2 linked regions of the Lonchura striata genome follow. The protein of the gene in region 2 binds, or shares a complex with, the protein of the main gene of each other region. Links are inferred from orthologs where the notes say so. Each region holds a gene or a part of one and is shown on either strand. Other genes may lie near its edges.

The links. Proteins that work in one complex are often made in the same cells at the same time.
Region 1: the proteins of RAB35 (region 2) and RUSC2 are in contact, whole or in part, in a crystal structure (PDB 6IF2), measured with the Homo sapiens proteins. The link is inferred for Lonchura striata from reciprocal best matches to the Homo sapiens genes RAB35 and RUSC2. Residues at the interface, in NP_006852.1 of Homo sapiens: Asp4, Tyr5, Leu8, Phe9, Lys10, Ser22, Leu26, Asp30, Ile38, Thr40, Val43, Asp44, Phe45, Lys46, Ile47, Lys58, Gln60, Trp62, Thr76, Arg79, Gly80, His82; in NP_001129471.2 of Homo sapiens: Val997, Lys998, Asn1001, Asp1005, Val1008, Thr1013, Arg1015, Lys1020, Glu1119, Glu1155, Leu1158, Leu1159, Gln1161, Pro1162, Leu1165, Leu1166.

Annotation. Positions count from the first base shown.
Region 1 is NC_134642.1:39,875,419-39,882,956, reverse strand, and holds the start of RUSC2 (AP-4 complex accessory subunit RUSC2), read left to right. Parts: upstream 1-4,475; 5' UTR 4,476-4,520; intron 4,521-7,538. Other genes in the region: phospholipid-transporting ATPase ID, read left to right, coding at 1,437-1,658. UniProt on the Homo sapiens protein: Associates with the adapter-like complex 4 (AP-4) and may therefore play a role in vesicular trafficking of proteins at the trans-Golgi network.
Region 2 is NC_134620.1:5,002,353-5,009,915, reverse strand, and holds the start of RAB35 (ras-related protein Rab-35), read right to left. Parts: upstream 3,101-7,563; 5' UTR 3,061-3,100; coding exon 3,009-3,060; intron 380-3,008; exon of another isoform or gene 1-379. UniProt on the Homo sapiens protein: The small GTPases Rab are key regulators of intracellular membrane trafficking, from the formation of transport vesicles to their fusion with membranes.

The DNA of each region.
Region 1 (7,538 bases), on a different chromosome or scaffold from region 2:
TTTTGTAGCCAATGGCTGTATGCCCCCTCTGGAACGAGCTTCTCTCCCATCCTCGGGAATATGAAGCTGAGGGCACCAGGGCAAGGAGAGGCAGGGAGTGATGGAGTGGGCAGGGAGCGCACTGCTCGCTGCAGCCAAGGGACCCCTCAAGACATCAGCGCACACAGGGCTCCCCGGGCTCGCTTCCAAACAGGAGCATTTGCTGAATGCTACTGCCACCTCGTGCTTCCTTCCTTCCCCTGCGCTGAGCTGCTGCGAATCGGGGTCAGAGCACAGCCCCAGGGGAAGGCACCGCAGTTGACGCTCTCCCTGGTCATCCTCCAGACGTCTGTGGAGCTCCACAGGTTCTCTATGACTGTAGAAGAACGTGTTAGGGGAATTCTTAGCCCTTACAAAGAGGGTAGGCCTTGCTGGAGAAGACTTCTGGCTAGGGAGGTCCTTGAAACAGCTCGAGGCAGCTGTGGGGTGTAAAACTGGTCTGAGTTTACCCCGGCTGAGCAGAAGTCAAACACAGCTATCACCCAGAATCCCAGCCTCATTGCCAAGGTTGAGCATCCCTCTCTCTAGCACAAAATTACTTCTCTGCCTCCTCTTGGAAATGAATGGTCACAGGAGAGGAGACGGTTTCCAGCTCTACAGAGTCCCCCAGCTGGCAGCAGACAGGCCTGATGTTTGAGATGTCAAGCACCTGCCACTGCCATTGTGCCAAGCAAGAAGCACAGGAATCTGGCACCTGGGGGTTCTGTTAAGCCACAGGCTCTCAATAGCAGCCTCCTGCATTAGACAGCCCCATTCTGAAAAGGTTCTTGATAGCAGATTAAGTCAGTGGCCACCTGGGAGCAGAAAGCCCACCACCTGCAAATAAAGTGCAATATTTATTTCCCATCTGCCAAGGAATACAGGATTCTCTCTATTATCCCTGTAAGCATTCAATGCCAGGTTGTATTTAGTGTTGATATACCTGATATAGTGGTAGCGGGGCTGGAATGAGATGATTCTCAAGGTGTCTTCCAATCCAAGCCACTCTGTGAATCTATAAGTCTATAACAATCAACATTATAATCATAAAAATATTTTATGCATCAGAAACTCCCTTTAGTAGTCTGTTTTCTATATTAAATATGCCAATTCCTAAATGTTTCCTTATTTATTTTCTGGAATTTTGACTTGTTCAGATGACTTTCACATTTTGGGTGATCTGACTGTAAGTCCTACAGCCATACCCCAACTATGGCATTAACAGAGATGCACATGGAAATAATTCCCTCCCATGATTTACAGACAACGCTCCAATTAACACCTTTTAAAATAAAATAGAAGATGCCCTTTCCTCATTTTTGTCTTTGAGTCCCTGCTTTTGTTTCCCTTCCTCTGCTTCTCTTCTACTGTGCTTGTGAATAATGATGTACCTTCCACTTTTCCCACCTTATTTCCAGGTCCTGATGAAAATCAAAGAAGCCAAAAAGCGGCCCCCTCCACCCTCACCCAAGCGACGCCTGCGCCGGACCAGCACCCGCCGCTCTGGCTACGCCTTCTCTCACCAGCACGGCTTCGGAGCACTCATCATGTCTGGGAGAAACATGCGGCCAAAGTCACCCTTTGCCACAACGGGAACATTTTCACCAAACAGTGACAAATATAAACACAAAGGATTGTAACGAAAGAAAAAAAAAAAAAAGGAGAGAAGAAAAAAGGAAAAAGTTTCCCAACCCCCCACCCCATCCCTCTTAAAAATTAACAAAGCAAACCAAAGTAAAGGGCTGTCAGGAGAGGAGGCTGTGCTGCCTGCAAGGCACCGAGCCAGTGGCTGCCCAGAGCTCTGCCCTCTGGGCTGCCAAATCAAGGACTTGGGGCTTTTCTTTCACCCACACACACTCTCTGATTCTAGTTTATTTTCCAAAGATGTGTGCTGCTGCTGGGGAAGGAGGGCTGGGTGAGTTGGAGCATGGAGTTGTATGGTATCCCAGAGGACCTCCCTGGCACAAGAGAGGACGTGCTGTGGGAGGCACCTCTGCTCCCTGAGATTGTTTATAATGCTACTTTTTTTTCTTCTCCCTCTAACTATATACCTCAGAGCAAAGAGAATTTCAATCTGAAGAAAAGGTTGAATTGGCAATGTCTTTCTCAGTCATGTGCCTTCATTTTTCTTCATGAATCTACTATGGGCCATATTACTGGGGTGACAGTATTGACCCCAGGTGTGCCTTAGGTCCAGCCACACAACCCAAAAATCCACAACCTTTGTAATGTGTGATTTTGTAGCCTTTTGACTGTGATCCACTTTCTCAAGAGATGGCCAGTACCCAAATACCACCCTCTTCCCACATCTGCCATCAGGAAGTGCTGCAAGCTCAGAGAAACCCTTAGTAGGTCAAGGGATCAGGAGCTGACAGTCATCAGTCTGCTCTGATTTATCTGGGCTGCAAATCTGCTTTTGTAAAGGATTATTGTTCTCAGAACCCTCTCAAGTTTTGTAAGTGGGCACCAGCCATTTCATTTAGACTTAAAATAAAAGAGCAGAAGGTGCTCAGGCTTCCTTATGGCTCAGACCATGAAATCTGGCCCAAGAAGCCCGTACACCATGGTTAGGGCCCACGTGGACTGCCAGCACAAGGCATCTGCCCCCCTTAACATAATGAGGTGTGTGCACATCTGTCTTGATGGTGATCACACCAGAATTATTGAAGCCAGAAAAGCTATTTCATGGCCAGCAGCTGAAATAGCCTTTACTGCACTGGTGCTGGGGTTCAGTGTAAGGGATGAAGTGACCTGGTGGCTTTCTTACCCTCCCCGATGAGCAGAGTGGCCACGATTCAGAGGATCTTAATGAGGCCTCAGGGCTCTCTGGAGTGTTTCATGGCTGCAGTGTTTCTCCGCACTGGCTCAAATTTTACTTGGGAACAGGTTATCTATCAAACACGGGTGGTAGAGAGCTGAAAATCCTACCAGTCTGACTGCCAGCAGAGGGACCTAAAATGCACAGATGCAGCTAAAGACATGGTGATGTTGAGGGACTGGGATTAGCTCACTGTTTTCTCACACCAAATCCATAATCAGCAGGGTTACTGGGTGGAAGGCCAGCGTGGCAGCATGAGAATCTGTCCTGCCAGTATTGCCGAGCTGCAGAGGACTAAGCCTCTGACTGTTGTTAGGGGTGATTTTTTTGTTTGTTTTTGTTTTTTGTTAAGGTTGGGAATTTTTCAGCTGTCATACAAATTTAGACTCCTTCCTTCATTTGATTTGGATTTTTTTTTTTTTTGTGCAGTAATCAGCTGATGTTTTTGAGACTCTGCTGTGAGTCTCTGAGCTGTTAGAAGGCAGTGTATGATGGCAAGAGGCCAGCCACGTCCCCATTTCATGGAACACCCTGCTGTCTGTGGTCCCAGTTTCAGCAGATACTGCATGAGATTGTTTAAGCTTTAATAGAAGGTCTCATCTCCCTGTGTTTTAACTCAGCTCAGGAAAAAAAACATAACCAAACTAGTCTGTTGCACCTGCTGCTTGGGGAGGCTTGTTGCAAACTGTGGTATTAAATTTCAGCACGGCAAGTGCAAAATTGGAGCTGGGACTGGATCCAGACTTCAGTGTCTAGGAGCTGCTTGCTAGGGAAAGAGTAAATTATCTGGTGATCTCCCCTGGAAGGAGATGCCTAAGTAAAGTGAGAGTCTGCACTCTGGCTGAGGAAACCACTGTGGTAGTTAATGCTTGTCACCTCCCCCTGATTTACCATTCACTTTGCAGGGACAATCATGGCTTTCTGACAAGGTGTTTGTTTTTCACAGTCAGCCTCCCTGGAGTTAGGGGAAAAAGGAGAATTTCTGCAGATAAGCAGACATTGCCATGATACCCATACTGGTCTGTGGACTGAAACTCCTATCAAAGCATCCTGATTCCTGGCACCTGATGCAGCAGAGTATATTGCAGAGCAGCAGAGGCAGACCTTGTGCTGACAGAGCAAGGAAAATCTGACACTGTGCCTCTCTTCTCATATGGTTTACGTGCAAAGTACTCACCTTCTGGCTAAAAGGGGATTTGAAAATGTTGGCTACAACATGTAGGGGATAATAAAGCTGTTGGTGAGCTTGCACCAGATACAATTCTTTCAGTGGTTTGACACAATCAGCATTTGAAACACAGCAGCTGGCAGCGATGTCTGTCCTACATCACTTCTAATTTTGTAAAATAATTGTTTTTTTGAAATAAAAATAGAATGTTGGGATGATAGATTCCTTGGCACTCTGTTAATTGAGGTAACAAGTCTATATGCAGAAGTGCACGGGGCGGGGGGGGGTTGGAGTGGTTTGTGGGACAATGGATCTGAGACGGCAACTCTATTCATCCGGTATCCTGACGAGGGAAGCACACAAATTCCCAAAATTTTCCATCCTGGCTAGGATGTTTTAAGAGGAAACTTAGAGGAAACGTCAGACATCCTTAGGCGGAGGACCCGGTGGGGGCGGGCAGCGTCGAGAGCCCGCCCCGTGGAGCAGCTGTAAACAGCGGAGCGATGCGGGCGATCGGTAAGGGACGGTGGCAGGGCGGGTGGGACAGTGCGGGGATTGTGCGGGGAGGAGCGGGCTCGCTGCTTCTCGTGTGCGCGGTGCTCAGCTTGGCTGCCCGGGGGGAGGTCAAACCGTGTGTCATCGCCCGTGCGGTGTCTGAAAATTATAATTTAGTCTTTTATGAAGCTGTAGTGTTTCGTAGATATGTCAAAAATTAATCCTTGAAATAGATTTTGGATTCTGTTTTTCACCCTCTCCCTTTTTTCCTCCGCATTATTCTGTAATATAAATATTCACAGTTTGAACATTGGTTTGCTGTTGTGCCTATACTTGCCACCCTGCTGGGCTGCAGTTTGGGGGTCAAGAATGACAATGCTCTGATGGTGTTGAAGCATTAGAACAGGAGGCTCAGGGAAGCTCTGGATGCCCCATCTCTGGGAGTGCACAAGGCCAGGTTGGATGAGGCTCTGAACAACCTGGTCTGGTGCAGAGTGTCCCTGCCTGTGGCAGGAGGATGGAACAAGGTGGTTTTTGAGATCCCTTCCAATGCAAACCATTCTGTGATTCTTTGATAGCCAGTGATGTTGTGTTTCCTTGCCTTACACTGCAGCAGAAGAGAGCTTAGAATGTCTCTCTTTCCTGAACCCACAGGGTGACAGTGAGCAATCTCTGTCCCTAATACCATGGGGCAGCAGGTGTGTTTGGGCAGAGGCACCTGAAGGGTGTTTTCCATTGCAAACTGCAACACCTGTATTCCAGGCTGCCTGGTAGCTCTCTCTCTGCCTGTGTGCATCCACACAACCCTCTCACACTGACCTGTAGCCTGGAAGTCCTTTCTCGTGAGCAGCTCTTAGGAAATGGGAAGGCAGAGGAGCACCATATGCTTGCCCTGGGCTCTCCAGTTGGAGAGCAACTCAGCAAAGTCTGTTGCACGAATGGAGACATCTCAGTAATGACCCATGCTAATTACCAGCTGGAACCAAAACAGGACCATAAAGGCTCTTTTGGATATCTCTGGGCACATGCACTGTATCCTCTAACCCCATCAGACCTCTGATAAAATTAATCCTAAATCCAGGTATTCCAGTTGGAAAGCTTCCTGACCTAAGGGTTGATTTTTCTCTCTGTCTAATTTTCAGCCTAAATGTGTTCACTGCATTTATTCTCTTGTTGTCATGCCAGCTTTATACTTTTGCTTCAGCAGTTTTGTCTCCTGTGATATATTTAGACAGCAATCCTATCCGCTCTCTGCCTACATTTGGCTAGGCTAAACAAGCCAGGCTCTTAAGTTTCTTCTTGTTTGATAGGTTTTTTGTTTCCCTCAGGCCCTTTCTGCACCTGTTCATTTGAGTTTATAATTTTTAAATGTGGGTGACCAGAATTCTTTTTTGCATGATGCTTCTTTCATCAGTCTATACAATAGCTCTGGTATTTCACTGCCTCACCTAGGACTGTGTTTGCTTTTCTTACAGCCTCATCACCTGTGTGTTCTTTAACATAGTTTTAGTGGATATTTTCCCCAATTTTATTATGGCTATGCATAATTATTAGCTAAATTAGGTTAGCTATGTAAATACCTCTCCTCTCATGCCTGACAACATGGGGAGGAGTTGAAGTCATCACAGAATAACTGTGTATGCTGATGCTTTAAATTGGTGCCTTGTGCTCAGGGCCAAGCTTTTTCCATGAGGGCTGGCAAGGACATTCTGCTACATCTGCTGATGTGTTGGCTGATGTGATGTGCTGGAGTGAGGGAGCAGCCATTTCTCCCAGCAATAAGTGTGGTGCTGCGTTCCCAGCCACAGCTCCCAGACAGCCCTGTCCCTGTCCCTGTGATAAAGTCTGTGTTGCTGCAGGGCTGGACGTGATGAAGGATTCAGAAGACAGGCACAGAGCCCTGCAGCCTGGGCTTGACCTCTGAGTGCTTTTGGCCATATCCGCTGCACAGCTACTCTTCATTTTTTCCAAAGCTACTCTTCTGCTGCCCTGCTTCTTATAATGCATTTAGAAGTAGAGAGTGGTTTTTCTCTTCCTGGCACTGTAGGGAAGCCCCCTCTCTCCCATCACTCCCAGCTTAAAGGAAAGACGTTTCCATATCCCTGTCTCTTTCCTCAGACTGCCTCTTCCCTCCAGCTGGGTGGAGCTGACTGTACGGAGCTGTCAGCTCCTGCTTTTCCACACAACGCTGAGCCCTCTGCTAGACTTTTCAGCTATAAATGGATCTCAACTTTTCCAACCCCCACTCTCAACACCAGGAGATTTTATGGGATAGCCAGGCTTCCTCTGAATTAGGAAAACATGATCCAACTGCTTGCTTTTTGTAGTTCTCTGTGAGCATCCTGCCTGGCTGTGGGGGAGCTGTATGTCCTGGTGAGGGCTGTGCTGCTGAATTTCTTGTGTGCACTGCGAGAGCAGCAGTTCTCAGACCTCAGTGGCAGGCCTGCAGGTGCCATCACCAACCCCACACATCACCCCACGAACACAGCACCGTCCGATCTAAGCTGTGTGTCTCCAGGGAAGGCCAATATTTTTGTTACTGCCTGCATCCTGCCTCCACATCCAAATCAGGCACTTCATAGAAGAAGCCCGGCTTCTGTACATAATGAACAATGTTTGCTTCCCTTAACTTTGGGATTTATGGCAGGCATCATGAGGTCTTTTAAGCTTTATTGCATTCTGGCTTCTCGGAGAAGCAGGGAGCATCAATATCTCCTCGTTCACCAGGGAGCTGGGGCCTGAAGTATGCACACCAAGGTGACTCAGGGAGTCAGTAGCTGCCCTGGATTTTAAACTGAAGGCTTTTGTGTCATCAAGTGCTAACCTCCATCAGCCCTGCCGGCATCCAGGCCATTCATTCCATGAAGAGTACAGGTCTGTATTTAGAAAATTAATTTGTACTCTCATGTTGAAAAATTGCAGTCTGAAAGTCTCCTAGTTAGTGTGCTGTGTAGAAGCTGCTGGGCAGGGTTCCAGTCTGGTGACCTTTTGCTGGCAGCAGTGGGTTTGCATTGTTTTGTCTTAGACAGGAACACCTAG
Region 2 (7,563 bases):
GAAACATTCCTCTAAATGCTTTGAGTAGCTCTTCATCCAGGTTTTCCATAACTGATTGTTGGCACCCTGATAACACACTGTTGCAGGGAAGCATTTTTCACAGGGCTTCAGACAAGAACTGTAAGAAACTCATTCCTGTACACCCACCCAAGGGAATCTGGGTATCCAAATGCCTCCACGTTGTTATCTCTGCATAACATCTCTGCTGTCAATGACCCTTCCTCATCAAAATAAATCTGCTATGGCATGAATAGGAAATTCACTTCACTGAAATAATTATCTATTATATCTTTTCAGGGAGAAATTTTCCAAGGTAATTATTTTGATGATGTATAAATCACAAATTCTTCTTAATAGAAGACCTATGTAAAGGCCCTGCAGAACTCCAGTAGTTCTTAGCTGCTGGCATGTGACAACAGCTACCAACAAAAAATAAAAACCAGCCTAAAAATCCGCATGATTACAGTAAGCCAGGTCTCATTTGCAAAGAGTTCAAATCACCAGCCATCTGGAGAAGCCATGTTCATTCCTCACTACTACCAAACTAAGGAGGAAAAGAGGAAAGGAACTAAAAAATACAAAGTTTCAGCATGCATATAATTAATACCTCTGAGCTCAAAAAAGGTAGCAGAGCAGTTCCTGTACTTCAGAGGACTGGTCATTTAGCCAGAATTAAAGCTCTGCAAATACCGGTCAACTAAGAAAAAATAAGAAACTAAGAGAAAACAAGAATGTTTCAGCATCAAGTGCTGTGCTTCTTGACCAAGCAGCCTTGGCCTTCAGCTCAGTGAAAGGCAAGAAGGTGCCAGAACCCACAGACTTGTCAGACCACAGCACCAGGTCCGAGCTCAGCCAGCCCTGGGCGATGCTGCAGAGCTGCACATGACACTGCTCTGTCACACTGCCCTCCACTGCACAAGCTGCACTGCTCCCAGCAGGCTGGCAGCTCCCAGAGAGAAGAAAGCTCCTGAACTCAGGAAGTTCTGCATGCTCCCAGTGACAACGATCTCACTAAGCAAACACTGCCTCTGACCCACACTGTTCACGCATAGAGAAACCACACTCTTGGTGACCCCACACTTCCCACACAGAGCTGTTTGAAGATCTGAAGAGAAGTCTTGCAGGGCCCTCAGCTTCTTGAAGATAGCAAGATTAAACAAAACAAAAAAAAAAGCCTATTGACTTTGCAAAATTAAAATTAAAAGTATATTTCAGTGTCAGACAAGATTCTAAGACCCATATCTTACTGAACAGTACAGTGAACTAAAGAAGCAAAAGCAAAGCACAGATCATCTGTGTTATTTTTAAATATCTGGCACAGCTGAAATCACCAGCAGCTTTTCAAGATGACCTGTTCTAAAAACACACAAACCTACTACCCCTCTGACATATTTGCATACAGGGGAAAGCAGATGAGACATAATTATCCTATCTAGTAACAGTCCACTTCCTATTGCAGGGAATAAATGTCAATAAACAAGGCAAGCAAACTGTTTCATGCAAGCAGAGACAAAGCTTTCCTGTTGGGGTTAGCAAAAACAAAAACAAAGAAAAATCAATAGTCAAACTACATTGTGAGATTTAATTACAGGAGAAAACCACAGGCCGCCTGACAATTCTCACAACACTCCTTTCACTGGATACACTACAGGGATTTCGCTCAAGAAGACTGAGCTGGCAAAATTTGTTTAATTGTTTAAAATGAGAAGTCTTCCTCAGAGTTTTCACCATCCTGTTTATCTTGCCTGAACAGTTTTGGAACTCATCAGCAACCAACAGAGCCACTGCTCTACTCAGAATGCAGCGCTTGGTTGCAATAATCCAAGGCTCCCAGAACTGTCTGGGGTTTAAGCTGCTCTGAAGCTGCTGTCCCGTCTCCCTTCTTAGATCCCTTCATGCAGACACAGTTTAGCGTAGAAAAAAACATTTCTGACGTGAAGCTAAAGCTTCCGAAGGTGACAACTGCCAAGATCGTGCAACATCACCCTTTCATCAAGGGCTGCGCCTCGCTGCATGCCGGGACCTGCCGCCCCACGGACCACACCTCTGTTAAAAGAAGAGGGTGGATGCACCCTTCTCCAGTTTATGGAAATTCAGCTGTAAGCTGCTGGAGTGCTACCAACACCGAGCTGCACCGACGGCAGCGATCTTCCCCGTCCCAATTCCTGTGTACCCAGACCAAAGCACCAGACACTGGCACAGTTCACACGCTCAGCCCTCCAGAAGTTTCTGAGGTTGCTGAAGTATTTAAAGGTCTATTTTCAAAAAAAAATTCAAACTACACCTTTTATCTACACCTTTGGTTTTTAAAACCTCAGACTACACCCTTTATTTTTATATATTTGCATTCTATGCAATAACGAGAAGTACACAAAGCTACCACCTCTTCCAGGATTTATTAAAAAAAATAAGGAAATCTGGAACTGAGACTTCAGGCTGAAGCATAGAAAAAGTCTTAAGGAATAATTAAGACAATAATGACTGTTAAAACGTATTAGCTGCCGCACTGGAACAACAGTCCTTAGGGCAGCCAGCCCTTCCCCTCGATCCCTAGACTGCCTGTCACAGGGGAAGGGAATTCCCTCCCCATCCCAGCAACAGATTAGTGGGTGCCGTCAAAACACGCGCTCGCCAAGGCTGATGCCGGCAGCACTGCCGGTGGTGTCCTGCCTTCTGCGTGTCTAATCTGCCTTTTCCCAAACGCAGCCAAGCTATTTACCATAATATCCTGCGGTAGCCAGTTCCGCAGGTTTATCAGATAAAACCTCCCCGAGCCCCAGCGAACGCGCCCCGCCATTCACACACACAGCGCGGGGTCCCGCCTCAGCCCCGCGCCGCGGCACCGGCAGCGCAACGCCGAGGGCGGCCCGGGCGGAGGGGCCCGCCCCTCCCGAGCCCCCCGCGCCGCCCGCCCCAGCCCCGCCGCCGCCTCCGGCCCCTCACGGCCCGAGGGGCGGCCACCCCGCCAGCGGCCTACCCACGCCCCCGGCCGTGCCGCCCGCGCTCACCGCTGTCGCCGATGATGAGCAGCTTGAAGAGGTGGTCGTAGTCCCGGGCCATGGCCGGGGCGCGGCCGCGGGCGGCGGAGCGGGCGGGGGGGGGGCGGGGGGCGGCGGCGGCTCCGGCCGGAGCCACTTCCCGGACAAACAGCCGGAACTGACAGCGGGGCCGCCGCCGCGCATGCGCCGGGCCGCCGCCACGGGCCGCCAGCTGCGCCGCCGCGCCTGCGCCGGCCCCGCCCCGCCCCGCGCCGCGGCTGCGCGGGAAAACGGCCGCGCCCTCACGCGCCCGCGCCTGCGCGCGAGGGGCGGTGGCTGAGGCGGCGGATGGCGGCAGCGTGAGGGTGAGGGACCCGCCGCCCTCCGCCCAAACCCGTCCTGCCCCCGCGCCGAGCCGCCCACAGGCCTTTCATCGGGAGCGCTTTGCCGCCCCGCTTCCCGTAGGTGCTCGTGTGAGGACGCGGCTGAAAGCGACGCTGCCCCCAGGGAAGCATCAATGGCGTGAGGGAGCCTCAGCACTCCCAGCTCTGCTCCGAAGGAGCGATTTGTGTAGGTACAGGAACAGTTCCCAGCGCAGCCCAAGCCGCAGGTGAGGAGCCCCACAGCAGTGATATGAGCTACCCAGGTGTGTGTCACAGGCCTGGCAAGTCAGGCCAGTCTGAAATGAATTCCTGGGGTTTTTAATCCAGAGATGTTCCTGTGTGTGGCTCAGGAAGGGCTTTGACCTCACGCCCATCAGCAGCTGTGCTTGCACCGTCCCCAGCTCATATATGCAGTTCAAAAGCACTCCCAGTCATCCAGCAGCCTCAGTGATTTTGTTATCAGTTGCACAGACACTGATTACACAATTACTGCAAGACTGTGGTCACTTTTTAGGAGATCGTCACTTCTAAGTGGAGACATGGCACAAGAAAAGTGCTGGCTTTTTGCTGTGATTAATTTTTCTTTAAAAAACATTCACACTCGTACTTGAACTCCTGAGATCAAGTTTGAATTATTTAATGAAACCTGTCTTACTAACATGCATTGTCATTCAGATAGGAAGAGGTATATTAGCACTAAAGAACTTGGATTGTTACAGATTATAAATGAGTCTGTATTAGGAATAAATTGTTCCCTGTGAGGTGGAGAGGCCCTGGCACAGACTGCCCAGACAAGCTGTGGCTGCCCCATCCCTGGATGTGTCCAAGGCCAGTCTGGGTGGGGACTGGGGCAACCTGGTCTAGTGGGTCATGTTCCACCTAATTATGAACCTTTCTTAATCTTAACCTTCAAAAACACATTATAGGTTTCAAAGTGCACCCTGTCAAGGTCCTCACATCCTGGAATCCATTCATGTGACCTTCAGCTGACATTCACTCTGCAATTCATGCATTTTAAACACCACACACATACACACACACACACACATATATATACACATACATACATATACACACACACATATATATGTGTGTGTGTGTGTGTGTATATATATATATATATATATATATATAAAATCACTCACCCCAGACAAGCACTGGGGCAATCCAGCACCACCAGAGTAACTGAGGACGCAGTAGCTGCAGGGAAATTCCTTGAATCCAGCACACAAACCACCAGCTCAAACCCAAAATGACAGTGACTCCTATTACCTCTATTTTTAAGCTCATGAAACCTCATCATGTGAAAAGTGTCATGATGTTACTAAATAAAATGGACAGTAAGAACTGTGACTGATCAAAAAAAAAATCAAAATATTTGAGTATTTTATGCTTTTACATTTGTCTCTCTTCCATTGTAATTTTTAGCACCTTGTAAACCTCTCTCATAAATTATTTTTTGATCTTCTTGAAATGCACACAGTTCAGCTGTCACTCAGAGACAGTTGCTTGACAGTTCAAAGATGTTATTACCATCAATTGAAGGGAAAAATTATCTTTTACTGGCAACTGGTATTTTTAAGACATTTGAAATAAGAAAATTAATTCTTTAGTCTCCAAGTTGGCACAATCAATTTATCAGATCTCGTGGCAAGCATTATGGCTATTTTATCTCTGATATATTATACTGCAATGTATAAATAGTTTAACAAAAGTAGCTATCAAAATCCAAATAGAGTGTTTCACTGTGACTGAAAAATCAGCATATTCTCCACAAGTGCAAGTGAGCTCCTACCTTTCACTCCTCCCTCCCAGGAACAACTAAGCTCAGTGCAGAAATTCAGGTGTTGTTTGGAAAGATGAATGAGGTTTTCCACTTGCTGCTACCTAAGCTGGAAATACAAATCATCAAAATAATAGAATATCTTATTGGTTGAAATGAACAAGTTAATAAAAAAGGCTTCATTTGCCTATAATTTTCTTTCCCATGTTTATCTGGAGCATCAATTGGAATCAGAATAGGTAAGCCAAGGTGCCCATGATCAAGAGCTCAAACAGCATCTTCACCAAAACTTGCCATTTTTTCATTCCTTCCTGGCTGCAGTGATGGAGTGAGTGATTCCAGTACAATCACAGCTTTTTGACACATTCTTAGTAGGTTTTGAGTGGCATCAGATTTTGTACATGTGTCAGGGCAGAGGTTTTTGCATTGCATGGTTTAACTGCTGTTCCTGGGATCCCAAAGCACAGCTAATTCATCACAGGTGAAACTCATTCCAGTGCCCCAAGCTGCCAAATCTTTAAGAGCATTTAGCTGAGTTTTCACTCTTGAGTATTACCAATTCAATGCAAAATATGTAGTTTTCAGATGATTTCAGATTTGCAAGTATTTTGAAATGCAAAAATCAGAATTAAAACCCATCTTAAATGTGATTAAATAGAACACAATTTCTGTCACACCAACTGGGAAGCGCTGCAGTTTTGTAGAAATGTGTCCAATGCATAAATACAAGATTAGACATAATTAACTAAAGAGCCATTTTTAGTTTGGCTTCATAGCTGATCACAAACTAACATGTCCACAACATGGTGGTGTTGCAACAAAGGAACACCCAGACCTTGTGCTGGGGCGGACAACTGTGTTTGTTAAGTGGGGCTTGCAAATCAACTCCCCAGGAGACCTGGGCCAGCAGTGGACACCTCAAGGCAAAAAGGAGTCAGAATGAAACAAATCAACATGAGGGGCAGCAGTGTAGGTTTAGAAAACATGGAAATCTCTAAGGAAATACATAGAAAATCTGAATTTATTTCATCCAGGGATGAGGATACTGAAGTGACAATGTGGTTGCTGCAAAAAGGAACTGTTTTCAGTGTCTGTGGGAACAGGACAAGCAGCAATGGATTCAAGTTGCAGCAAGGAAAACTTTTTCTTCAGACATGAGGTACATTCCTGACAGTCTGGTAAGTTCATATAACAAAATAGATGGCATAGAGAAGTTATGGAATCTCCATCCTATAATGCTATAAAACAGCTGTGTGGCAGTCTGCTAGGAATGGTTTAGTGGGAGCTGAGCCTATCTTAGGTAAAGGGTAAAATATCTAATTGCCCAAGTTTCCACTAACTCCTACAGCAAATCTCTTGTCAGGATGCTACACCACAGGCTGGGAACTGACACAGCACCAAGAAACTTTTGTCAGATTTTTGTACTTCTGACCAGAACAAACCACAGCATTCCCAAATACCTGCTCATGGTTGTATCTTGCTGTTTGAGGCCTGAGTATGATAAAAATGTTCTTGTGTTTACTGCTACTGCCATAACAATCAGAAAATTGCTTCTAGCAGAATGTGTGCTCCCATGGAGTTCCACTTAATGCTCTCAGATTTTATGTGTAGTGTTGTGTTCTCCCATCATCATGGTTTGAGGCATCCAGAGTTATAAAGAAGGAAGATTACATGCACACACATACACACCACCCACATGAAATAACAAATCTTAGTGCTCTGGCTTCTCGGGTGCAACCACCTTCTGTGAGTTTCATACAATAGGTAAGGCTCACGTAACTATTGCTCCACGTGAAACATAAAGCTCATTTTGCCTTCTAAAAATTTGTATTCTGCAACAAGATTTTCAGTATATCCATCAAGTGACATCAAATCTACTAGTAAATTGATTTTTTTTCAAGACAGATATATGTGGCCAGGTAAAATAAAAGACTTTCTTGGAGCAGCACAACTCATTGACCAAAAAAACTAACGCCAAGTATTTTGTGATGCCTTTGAAGACGTAAATACAGAGGACTTTTCACTAGTTGGGTAATTAAAAAGCTGTCTGTAGTCAAAAATACTTTGGAAATCAACAGGAGTAATTACTTACAAATTTCATTAAATGTCAGTTCTGCCTTGGCTTTAAACCCTGTCTTGCCTCAGTTCTGCAAAAGGTTTTCACAGATCACAGCATTGTCCACTCTATAAACTGTATGCTCTAAACCAAACAGGTTTGAAAAGTAAATCACAGTGTAAGTTTGTTGACAAATTAATTTGTATAAAGAACAGTTTACATCAGAAGGATCAAAGTCAGAGCCTTTATTAAATGTTCCTTCTCTAAACGGACTGCATTTAATTCCCCTTTCGCATCTGTGATTTCTAAGGCTATTTTAAATACTTCGTTTTACAGGGATTTTCAGTCTTCAGAACCGTCACA